2 linked regions of the Rattus norvegicus genome follow. The protein of the gene in region 2 binds, or shares a complex with, the protein of the main gene of each other region. Links are inferred from orthologs where the notes say so. Each region holds a gene or a part of one and is shown on either strand. Other genes may lie near its edges.

Region 1 (6,353 bases), on a different chromosome or scaffold from region 2:
CTGAGGACAGAAATGCGGGAGTGAAGACTCAAGCACGTCAAAGGCACCACTTACCCTGAGGGAGTGGCTTCCGAGCATTGGGTTTAACAAAGATCTTTGGGAGAAATGGCGTGTTGGAATTGTCGATCTTCTCTCGAAACCTGAGCTGAGGCCGGAGGATGTTTTTTGCATGTAGCAGTCGGAAAGTCTCCGCCTTTGCTTTTTTGCCATATTCTCCTGCCTGTGGACAACACGTAGGAACCAACTGAGACAAAGCCACTGGATGAAGTAGGGAACGAGACTCCAGCTCATCTTCTGGAGACAAGAACATTGGTGTGCGTGTGCTTGTGAGCGGGGCTCACCTTCCGGTTCCAGCTCGACACTATCGTTTTGGGGACCTGCAGCCCCGCAGGGAGGACAGGCTGCTGATGCTTGTTGACACCTGAAGCTTCATCCAGTAATATACCCTATGAGGAGACAAGGCACTGGGTTAGGATGTGACTTTGACAGGCTTACCTACCTGACATTTTTAAGAAATGCATTCACAGAATTATGTGGTTTATACACACATGAAAGAGGAGGTAAGGGCTGGAGAGATGGCTCAGTGGTTAAGAGCACTGGCTGCTCTTCCAGAGGTCCTGAGTTCAATTCCCAGCATCCACATGGTGGCTCACAACTGTCTGTAATTCCAGTTCTAGGAGACACCCTCAGACACACGCACACGCAGGCAAAACACCAATGCACATAAAATATAAATGAGTAAATTAAAAAGAATAGATAAATGTATCAAAATATTATTTATATACTGTACGCATTCAGAATTTTAATGGCCGGTTTAAACTTGACATTTTTGTAAGTGATTTATCTATCTTATTCTGTGTGTATTGGTGCTTTGCTTGCATGTATGTCTGTGTGAGGATGTTAGATCCCATGGAGGACTTACAGATGGTTGTGAGCTGCCACATGGGTGCTGGGAATGGAACCTGGGTCCTCTAGAAGAGCAGAAAGTGCTCTTAACTGCTGAGCCATCTTCTAGAGCCAAAAACATAACTATTTTTGAAGAGCATGGGTGGGGGCTGGAGAGAGCACCATGGCTCTTGCAGAGGACTGGTGTTCTACCCAAGCTCCAGTGGGCTCCAAGACCACTGGTCTCCACGGACACCGGCATTCATGGCACGTGCCTATACATACAATTCCATCCATCTATCTATCTATCTATCTATCTATCTATCTATCTATCTATCCACCAACCCATCCATCTATTGGAGAGGTCTTGCTGTGTAGAACAGGCTGGCCTGGAACTCAGAGACCCGCCTGCTTTTGCTTCCCTAGTGCGAGGCACAGGTACGGCCATTAGGACTGGCTACATTTATTTCACTTTCCATAGAGCTGGGGTTTCTCCTTCCACTGATATCTGAGCCTTCTATCTGAGAGCTTACTTCTGTGGATGGGAGGCACTCACCACTCTCTCCAATATCACGTCGTTGGTGTCGACGAGTAAATCGAACTTGTCCTCCAACTCAGTGACTTTGCTTCGGTCTTTGATGTTGCTGCGACACCCATGGTACTGCATCACCCGACTCATGCTAAGGAATCGAGGAAAACCAAGGTCAGCACGTGCACCTTTGTTCTACCAACCTACAGTCTGAGAAAACTCCTCAAATGGCTTGGATCACAGGGTTCCCGGCACCCTGGATAAAATTAACCCAATGTACATCTTCACAACAACCTTTAAACACAGGACCCCAAGCCAGGCCTGATGGTGTAGGCTTGTGACACCGGCTTCCTAGAAGGCTCAGGCCACAGTGAGTTTGAAGACACCTGTGTAATTTGGTGAGTTAGGCCTATTCTCAGCAAAATAACTTCACGGTGATCTCCCCCAACAATTATCAGATGAGAAATGTGTAGCCTTGGCTGCTCTACTCACTATACAGACCACACCAGCCTTAACTCAGAGATCTACCTGCCTCTGTCTCCCTAAGGCTGGGATTAAAGGTATGAGCCACCACACGCAGCAAAAGACTTTTGACATAAACAGATATTGTGTGTGTGTGAGTTCCCCCGCCCATGTGTTAAGGCCAGAGGATAGTCTGCAGGAGTGAGCTCTTTCTCCATCCGAGAGTCTCAGGGGTTGAACTCAGGCTGTCAGGCTTGGCATTAGATGCCTTTTACCCACGGAATCATCTTGTCGGCCCTCTTATTTTTCTTTTTTTTCTTTTCTTTTTTTCGGAGCTGGGAACCGAACCCAGGGCCTTGTGCTTGCTAGGCAAGCGCTCTGCCACTGAGCTAAATCCCCAACCCCCTATTTTTAAAGATCATAGATCATGCTGGCTGTGATGGCTGACATTTTCATTTTAGCACTCAGGGGAAGTGAGTTCAGAGGAAGGTTGATCTCTAAGATTTCAAGGCTAGCTTGGTCTACATAGCAAGTTCCAGGCTAGTCCGGGCTCCACACTGAGCCGCTATTCTTCCCCAACAGCCACAGACCACACAATTATCCTATGTCCCTCTGGTTAATGGCATTTAGGCAGCGTTTCTTTGGTGATGGCTAGTACTGGAGTTCAGACTCAGGAACCCAATCACGTTCATTATCTCCCGACAACTGAGGTATGCCACTCTCAGGACAATCTTTTATTTCTTTCAATCAACGTAATAAACTCACCACTGAAGCAACCTGTCTCCTTGTGTCTCACAAAATGCCTGGAAGGCAGGAAAACTTCGGTAAAAGTCATACTCGTCACCGACCTGTGGCAGGCCCCCAGATGCCTTGGTAACGGCCACTACCGACCCAAGTGCAAACTGAAAATCAGAGAAAAAGATGCATCTTACACACGGATTCCTGTTTACTCAGGAATAAAAAACCCACAAGATTTTAAAGCTATATATCCCAGGGAGCTGGAGAGACCGATCAGCGTTAAGAGTGCTTAGCACTTCTTGTACAGGACCTGGGTTAGGCTGGGCTCAAACATACAGAGATCCACCTGCCTCTGCCTCCCAAGGGCTGGATTTGTGTACCACCACCCGACTCAGGTGACCATTTTATAACCAGTGGTTTAGGTAGACTGTTGTGAGGCAGGTAATGAATGGGAAACAATCACAAGTGGCTGTCATTGATAAAGAGTGGGTGCTTATTTTAAGGCAGTGGCTCTCAACCCTTGGGTCCCATTTCAGATACCCTGCCTGTTTACATTACAATTCATAACGGTAGCAAAATTAGTTACGAATTAGCAAAGAAAAAATATATTTTAACCAAGAGGATCGCGATTTATTTTAAAGTTAATGTCTACATAGACTGCCACAGCAAGGCCATCAATGAAAATAATCTCATGGTTGGGGATCCCAGCGTAAGGGAGGTGTTAACGTCTCATGACAGCATCGTGAATTTTGTGAACAAAGAATTTAAATAAAAACTCTATCTTCCTTCTCAAGAGGTACTGGTGAGTGCGCTTTGGCATTTAGAGAGGGGCTCGATGGTCGCTGTGACATTCAACCCAAGAGATTGGGGCAATAGACGTTTGTGCATCAGCGGGGTGAGCAATGGGCGGGAGAGTCGCTCAGCTGTTGGGCTCCTCAGGAGAGGTAGCGCAGGGTGCGCCACGTGGATGACGGACGCCCTTCCGAAGGCGCGGACACAGCTTTCTACGCGAAGCCGCTCGCGCTCACACCGGAAGCGCGGAGCCCTTCGCTGCCGTTCTCCGTGCGCGCCGTCAGGCCGCCGTGACAGGCGCCAGAAGCCCGCAGCCCCAGACCCGCTTCCGGCTAAAACAGCGGTGCCCCAGAGCCCGCGAACTGACCTTTACGAAGCTGTCTGCATCCGGGAAGCCAGGCAGTACCATCTCCGCGTCAGGCTTGGTCGCACCGGTCGCTGGCGCGGACTGATGCTCCCGGGGACTGGGAGGCGCCATTTTTCCGTCCTAGGGCGGCTCTTCTCGCGAGATTGTTCCGGCGGACCGGAGAAGAGCGTAACGCGCATGCGCGCGGCTCAATACCACTACCCCGCCCCACACCAAGTAAGTAGTGTAACTTGTTACACGACTTGGCCAACGATGGGGAGATTTAGGCTTTTCTTTAATTTTACGTTGTATCCTAACAAACCTGTGGGCTAGGGTGAGGACTGGAGGGAGGATACAATTGAAATTACATTTAAAGCTAGATCTTCACCCCGGACCCGCCTGCATCCAGCCTCCCAAGTGCTGGGGTTAAAGGCGTGCAAAACCGTTTACTCAAGGATTGGATTTTTCCCAGTTTGTTTAAAATATTGGGAAAGGGAGAGAAGAGAGGCTTTGAAGCAGTTAAGAACACTTGCTGGGCTGGAGAGATGGCTCAGTGGTTAAGAGCACCCGACTACTCTTCCAGAGGTCCTGAGTTCAATTCCTAGCAACCACATGGTGGCTCACAACCATCTGTAAAGAGATCCGATGCTCTCTTCTGGTGTATCTGAAGACAGCTACAGTATACTTATATATAATAAATGAATAAAAAAAAAAAAAAAAGAACACTTGCTGTTTTTTGAGGATCCCAGCACATATACAGCAGAGACCTGCTGGGTCTGGGTTCAAAAGAAGATACAGCTAACCTTCAAGAGACTGGAGGCCCCAGGGAGTTTAGAGGTTGGGTGGGGTGGGGACAGCCTCGTGGTCGGGGGATTGGGTGGAAGTAGGTTTGGGATATGGAACAGTCGGAGGGTGGACTGGGAGGGAAATAAAATCTGGAGTGTAAAAAAAACCCACCACCACCACCAACAACAACAAAAAGGACAGGGTTTTTCTGTGTAGTCCAGAATCTCAAGAGATCCTTGTTTGCCTGTTTCTGTCTTGGCCTGTCTAGTGATGGAATGTAATGGTGTAGGTTCCTGTCCCCATTAGTCAGTGGCTTACCACTGAGTTTAAGCCAAAGCCCAATAAGAGAATTTGCAAAATAATGAACAGAAAGCCATACACATAAATACTTTTAAAATTCTGATGTCATTTATTGGCACAAAAATTACTCAGATACAATGGTGTCTAGATGTGGCTTCACTTATACTTTGTGTTTAGTTGGATATTTACTTTGCTCTTAATTCACAACCTGCGCTAGTGTCCCTCTGAGATCAGCACTTCCACAAAAGCATTTGTGTTCTGAGTCCCTGCTGCAAACACAACATATCCATCCCTCACTGAACACAGCAGCAGGGCCAGCGTGGACCCTGCACTGAGATCCTGGCACACCTGCTCATCCTCGGTGGCCAGGCGTCTGAGCAAACGTCCTTCCTGGAAGGCCGGCTCTGTGAGGTTCAGCATCATGGGATCAGGTGGAAGACAGATCTTCTTACACACACGGTGGCCCATCCTGCAGATGTTGCCACTGCATCCAGGGACGGGTGAGGTAACAGGATGGTGGAGTGCTGACATCTGTGTCCTTGCTGTTGAAGCCCCTGGTTGAGAGGATCAACTAGATTATTCGGTCAGCAAATGCGTATGATGAGTTCTTCTGTAAGTTAAGTCAAAACCCGTATTTCTTAGTCAGTTACTCATCTTCTGTTCTCCCAAAATCAAAGGCTTGGTTTCTGTAGGATTACTGTGTTTCACTGTCCTGGGAACTGAATCAAGCCTTGTGTTTCTGACAGTGTCTTTTCAACAGCAGCTAGGAGGTTGGCATAAGCCAACTTTGAATATACAGTAGTTCTTTTCATATACATTTCAAAATATTAACAAAGTCCAACTTTATGACCATGGTTTCAGTCCACTGGAAGCACAGACCAAGGTACAAAAGCATCGGAGGAGATGATTTTCTTTGCCAGGCCTTGGTTACCAGAAAGGACACCTAGGAAGGTGGGCAGAAAAAGGCATGGTCAGTCAGAGCTCTTCCAAGCTTTACCCAAGCACAGAGAGCAGGTTTGAGCCCTATGGGACTCAGTCAACACCTCTAGTAGAGGGCTAATGGCCCTGAGGTCCCAGAGATTCCTCTGCCCCTCTCAAATGCCTGCCTAGAGTCTCCAGGATTATCAATCTTTTTCTTCACTTTTTCTCTCTAGCATTTCTTTGACTTTTCCTGTGCCCTTCAGATCTCTGGAGCGACAACAAAATTCCAAAAGCACCAGACAAGTAATGCACTCTGCCCATTCTAAACCAAAGCTCTCAAAGCAGCTGTAACTTCCAAATGAGATTACATCTCTGTTTCCCGCAAGCAAGGAGCATTCTCAGAACCTGTGAACTTAAGAGGCATGGAGCCCATAAAGAATGTTCTCTATGATCACTCCACCAAATCATCTTCTCATATGTGGGTTTGAGGCTTAAAGTGTGTCCTTACTGCAGGCTTATTTAGAGACATGGTTTCACTACTATAACTTGGCTGTCCTGAAACTTACTAGAGACTTGCCTGCCTCTGCATCCCCA
Region 2 (6,138 bases):
CCATCTATCACATTGCCTGGGAGCCAATCCCCTGTGCATTCATGTTCCATACCTCAGGGCACTTCATTTAAATGGAAACCATCTAGAAATAACAGATCTGACTGTACGAAGAATGAATGCTTTTGCCTGTCTTTGTTTCTCACACAATGCAATATAACAATAGTTTACAGAGCACTTGGACTGGTTTAGGTGTTTTAGTAACCTAGAGATGATTTAGAGCCTACAGGACAGTGAGTGAAGATTATTTGCAAACACCATGCTATTTAAAACACAAAGTATAACTTTTATTGGAGGAGGATGGGTACGGGTGGAGGTCAGAGGACAATTTGAGGGGTTGGCTCTCTCCTTCCACCACGTGGACACTGAGGTTTGAACTTAGGCTTGGTGGCAAGCTCCTTTACACATTGAGCCACCTTGTTAGTCCAATACAGTTTTATTTAAAAGTTTAAATTAGACTTATTGATTTTATATCTGACTATTTTGCTGAACATATGCATGTATAGCATGAAAATGGTTGGTGCTCATAGCTGTCAGAAGAGGGAGGGCATTGGATCCCCTGGAACTGGAGTTTTAGATGGCTGTGAACCACCTTGTTGTTGAGGGGATCAGACCTGGGTCCTCTGCAAGAGCGACAAATGGTCTGAACTGTAGGACCACCTCTTCAGCTCTCCCATGGCCATTTTATGTCTGTAACCTGAACAGTTGCAGACTGTGGTAGTCTTAGGGTCCCAGAACCAATTCCTTTAATAAACCAAGGGACTATGGTAATACATTTACAATTTTACAATACTATGCTGTTTATTAAATTTAGGGGTTTAATTTGCTTTTAAAGCTTATTAAGTACTTAAAAAGGCTATAAATAGATTTATAGCTAAACACCAATACAATTATGCGTGTTTGTTTGTGCAGACAGAGTCTCATTTAGTCTGTACTGGCTTTAAGCTTTCCGAACAACAGAGACTAACATAGAACTGAACCTTCTACTTAACAATGTTGGGATTACAATTATGCCTGGCTCTTGGGTATAAGGAGACCCATTTCCTGCTAGAAACAGGGCTGGTACTGTTGCCATTTGAGTAAGCCTATATCCTGGCACTTGGTTTACCTTAAAGCCACTGACAGTGCAAGCTGACCAAGTGCTCCTTTTAATGAAATATCAGGAGGGTGGGGCCTACTTGCCGGTTTTCCACCCTTTGCTTTCTCCTATAGAATCCTAAGACACAGGGTAAAGCAAAACAAAACCCAATGCTGGGAGCTCTTCATCAACTTAACTACTAAAACATTCAGGAGAAAGGACATTTAAATTCCAACTCTTTGCTTTCGGTTGTCCCAGGAATTGGTTTTCAAAACAATCCTAATATTAAAAACGTTTTAGAAAACAGAGGTTGAAGCGGATTGCGGTGCATGAGTGAGCCGAACGGTAACAACAAATTGATTTTAGCAAAAGAAATTGAAATATGACACCTGCAGCAGTGTTTAAACCTGGCTGTGTGTAAACGTCTATATGTCTGTGTCTAAATAAAACCAACTTCAAGCTTATTTTAAAATATTCAATTTGAAAAAAAAAACCATGTACATTCTAGCTAATGTATATTTTTTCTGAACTGAGCATAAGGACAATTTATCATTTTCATACACAAATAAAGAAAACTTTTATCTTTTACTACCAAAGTCTGAAGAAACCAAAACATCTTAAAAAACAGAATAAATACAGTTTCTGCTTGTTAAATAACTTGGGGTGCTGAGGGTTTGGGAATATAATTCTAACGTGCTATTCTCAGAGTCGGATCATAAAAGTTCAGATCGTAAAAGTTTCCAAATATTAAATGAAGCCAAACTGTATTTTAGGGCATTTTCACAAAAAGGGGTAATACCTCTTTCACTTAGGTACAAGGCAAGTATTTTAAACTGGTCCAATTAGAAATGTTTTGTTCCGCAAATACAATTACTGTGGCTGATAGTTACAGGACTAATCTAAAAATCAGAATGAGCTATTTTTTAATTTCGTTGAATAAATCACTGGAAGTACAGTTTGCATCTACAATAGAGGAAGATAAGACTTAAATGTATTCTTTTCCAAAGAAAGGAATGCTCCTGAAACAATCTACCTATGAATAATATTAAATAATATACATCATTGGCAAAATTAAAAAGAAGACAAGATTGTGCCACCCGTAAAAATGTAAACCAGATGCCAATTCACCATAGAATCCTAACTATGTCCATCCTGGGGATACTGCAGTTTATTGATCTACAGCCAGATCTTTTGGCCAGGTGTTGAAGCACACATATAAAATGTTACTGCATTCCTCACCAGCAAAGAGAATACCAAATTAGTTTCAAAAATCCTTTCTGTCAAAATAATGAATTCCTCCTCTTTCCCTCTAACAAAGGACCTTTTCTAAAGGGGGCTGGGGAACCTGTACTATAAATAAATAAATAAATAATGCAAAACAAATACCTCCGGCCTCTCTGATGCTGCACAGCTTGACAAGCCGTTTGCATGAAAATAATTCCCTTCAACTCAGGGAACTCCAGGACCTCAAGGTAATCCTGGACAACTTTCCAGTCTGGGATCACATAATGAGTCACTTCAGCAGACAAGAGCTTCCCATCTGAAACATAATTCAGAGTGGAAGCGATTAGGTAACATTTTCAAACCTGGTTTATGACTATTTCAATGTCGCAGTGCTCCCGGTGTGCAAAATAACTTCTCATCTTAATTTCACCTTGAAGTTTTTAAAAGACAAGACAAATCTAGTTTGGTAGAGGCTCAAAGTTCAGATTCATTGCTTCCCCCTCCCCTCAGCTGTGATTAAATACAAGCCCAACATGGTTTATGCTGTTGCCAGTACTTCTTTAAGAGGATGACTGATATTTTAAAAACAAGTACATCCTTGGAAGAAGCTAAATTTCTACTAAGCCGTCACAGCAAGAGTGCACATGTGTGTGTGTGTGTGTGTGTGTGTGTGTGTGTGTGTGTGTGTGTGTGTGTTAATCACTTGTATGTACCTAAAAATTCCAAGGATGTTCTGTTTGAAGCTTCTGAACATGGCTACACTGTTCTAGGATTGAAAGAGAAACATACTAGAAAGGCTGTGCTATACAATCCATGGGCAGCGGCAGGGTTTCCACTCAACTGACACCTGCTTGGTCAAGCTGCGACCTCGATTATGTATTCTGAAAAGACCTCCTCAGGTTCATCTCCCCGGGGGTAACAAACAGCAACATGCTGCCTGAAAATCGGGGAAAGTCTAGCTCCCAGCATTCCCCAGCCTAAGTCCCTAGTCCTAAGATAAAGAGGCTGTCATGCTGGAGAGTCTGCGTACTGGTAGGAGCAGAGCAGGCAATGCCAAAAGTCCAGCAGTGAGCTCAGGAGCAATGCCAGTAGCTACTTTTGGGAGAAAGAAGGTGCCTACGCCCTCAGGTCCCCAGGAAAAACCGAAGCATCCGGTGCCTGCAGGCTCTCGGGCCTCCCATTTGACCCGGCCATTACAGTGGGCTGGTCCTGAGAGGAGCGCCCCTGAAGCTGCAGGCCGGTGCTGTCTGCTTCCGATCACTAGGAAGGACGACCGGACGCACTGCGGACGCTCCAGGGCGTCTCCTGGGCTGCCCAGACTGCTTTGCTCGCTTCGGCTGCCTACGGTCCGCGAGGGTCTGGCTCCGCCCTTGACGCCAGCCCAAAGCCGCCCTTGCTCCACAAGCTGCGGCTCTCCGGTCTCGTTGGGTCCGGCTTCCTTCACTAGGGCCCGGCCACCCTCGCTCCTCAGGCCTCAGCTCCCTTTACTCGCGCCCAGCCGCCCTCGCTACGTCAGGCCCCAGCCTCCCTTGTTCCTTTGGTCCCGGCTTCCCTCGCTCTTCGAGCCCCAGCTTCCCTCTCCGGTCCCAGCCTCCCTCCCTCGCTCCTCTGGCGCCGGCCTCCCTCTCGGATCCGGGCCTCCCTCTCTCCTCCGACCCTCCCTCTCTCCTCCGACCCCGGCCTCCCTTGCTCTTCCCGCCCCGGCCTTCCCGGTCCATCCCGGCCCTGACCGTTGCGGCAGGTGGCAGGTTGCGGGCACAGGGGGCTGTTGCAAGGTACGCTGGGCCGCAGATAGTGTTCGCGCACGATCCTCAGCGTCCGGCCCTGGAAGGTCCTCAGCAGCAGCACCTTCTCCCGCTTCTGCAGCATGCTGGCGGCGTCGCCCGGCACAGTGGCCGGGAAGCGGCGGGCGGCAGGTGGAGGCGAGGCCGAGGCCTGGGGCCCGCCCCTCCGGCCTGGCCGGGCAGGCGGCGGCTTTTGGGTTCCCGCTACCGGGAACGACCTAGCCTACACTGAGGAAACGCCTGGCCCAGCCCTGCCTGCACCTTTGACTCCTCTCTTTGCCTTAGTTGCCCCGGGGCGGGAAAAGTGTAGATAAACTGTTTACCCAAAGAATCAGCGGGTAAGACGGTAGTCTGTGGCAGCTAGTCTAAAGTTCCCTTGTGAAAAGATTATTTTTACTTTCTTTCTACCCACAGGCCGGTGTGGGAAGGGCTTGCCATATTAACAGAGGTAATAACTATTGAGTTTTTTCATCCTTATTTTTGCAATATCTGAAAGAATTGAAAGGCTCAGCAAAAAAATACTGGTAACCCTGCTAGCCAAACCTGGTTTTCCCCTTCAAAATATGCTTATTTTAAATTTTAATGCATGTAAATATTCAAACACTACAGATAAAATGAAAACCAGTCCTTTGGGGTAAACACTGTATAACTTTTATAGCGCTGGCAGCCTCTGGCAAAGGAATTCTTAAAACTGCTATTGATATGATCACTAAGTACTGTGCTTGTAGTGTTTGACAAAAAGGACAGTATCTTGGGAGACCAGACAGCCTCGATTCTCCAAGCACTGGGCCCACTGGAGCTACATTAGCAACTTCATACAGGAGAGTCTCATTTAGCTTCCTTAAATCAAAGGAGTGGGCGTGTATTTTTAATCCTCATTTCACCGTATGTGAGGCTGCATTAAAGGAGCTTAAGTGTCCAAGGATACCTAGTTATTAAGTTTCAGAACCAATGTTCAAGCTAGAAACTGCTCAACTTCAAAGCGGGTTAAGCATCATCTATTCGATGGTGAGTAAAACACAGGGCCTGCACCTAAGGAATTTACTGCTTGGCAACCTTTGGTTAATGTGTCTGACCCAGTTGACTGGAAACACATGGCTCTTCCAGTACAGCTGAAATAAACCAGGACCAGCCTCTCATTTCACCCTCAGGGAATGCATAAAGAGTCACGGTCCCCTCCTCCTTGTACCTTTGTGTCAAATCACTCGGTGAAACTCAAGGTAAACTTGTACAAATGGGAAAATAATGTAGAACTGGCGCACAGGCGACAGTGCAAGGAGGGTTCCTAACGTTCTCCACAAAGAAAGAGGCCCTTCCTGTCTAACACAGGAGTCAGTTCCAGAGAGACCAGACGACACTGAGTAGCCAAAATTGTTCTCTACATAAAAAAATGCTTTAGATAACTGTCCACCAGTCCCTCCCCAGTTCCCTTGCTATCTTTTTAAAGCCACTGGTGCTATGGGGTTGGAGGAATGACTTCGATTAGGTACTAATCTGCCTTTAATATCTCTCTTCAGCACTTTGTAGCTCGAAATTGTCCGCAAATGAACCACCCTTTAAGGAACAGCATACCTAGGGTTTTATGCAGAGTTGATTTTTATCAGTGTTTAAAACAAGGCTGGAGCTTAGTTGGCAGAGGGCTTGCCTAGCAAGCACGAGGTTCTTTGCTGAGCACCGCCCTACCCCCAGGAGGCACACAGGCCTATAATCCCATCACTTGGGGATGTAGGAACAAGATGATCAGAAGTTCGAGGCTGTTCTTAGCTATACAGTAAATTGGAGACCAGCCTGGATGCATGAGATGCTATCTCAGAGAATAATTACAGTAGTCCAATGTCCATTGCACATCTCCTTGGTTTGTGTTGGGGCAATAACATACAAATTAATTGCTTTTTCCCCCCACCCACTCCCTCAAATTAATTACTTATGGTGTCAGCTACCCAGGTTGGGTTCAAATTTGCCATGTAGTTAAACTTCTGATCCTTCTGCCTGTAGCTAGGTCTTGGGATTGCAGGTACCTGGGGATGGAACTCAGGGCTTTGTGCATTCCAGGGT

What was found.
Region 1: Dis3l (region 2) and Exosc10 share a complex: the UniProt entries of both Homo sapiens proteins name them as parts of the RNA exosome complex. The link is inferred for Rattus norvegicus from reciprocal best matches to the Homo sapiens genes DIS3L and EXOSC10.

Annotation. Positions count from the first base shown.
Region 1 is NC_086023.1:164,276,010-164,282,362, reverse strand, and holds the start of Exosc10 (exosome complex component 10), read right to left. Parts: upstream 3,924-6,353; 5' UTR 3,885-3,923; coding exon 3,774-3,884; intron 2,779-3,773; coding exon 2,642-2,778; intron 1,566-2,641; coding exon 1,442-1,565; intron 447-1,441; coding exon 342-446; intron 221-341; coding exon 55-220; intron 1-54. Other genes in the region: serine/threonine-protein kinase mTOR, read right to left, coding at 5,766-5,781. UniProt on the Homo sapiens protein: Catalytic component of the RNA exosome complex which has 3'->5' exoribonuclease activity and participates in a multitude of cellular RNA processing and degradation events.
Region 2 is NC_086026.1:73,731,245-73,737,382, forward strand, and holds the start of Dis3l (DIS3-like exonuclease 1), read right to left. Parts: upstream 4,284-6,138; 5' UTR 4,169-4,283; coding exon 4,030-4,168; intron 3,522-4,029; exon of another isoform or gene 3,330-3,521; intron 2,616-3,329; coding exon 2,462-2,615; intron 1-2,461. UniProt on the Homo sapiens protein: Catalytic component of the RNA exosome complex which has 3'->5' exoribonuclease activity and participates in a multitude of cellular RNA processing and degradation events.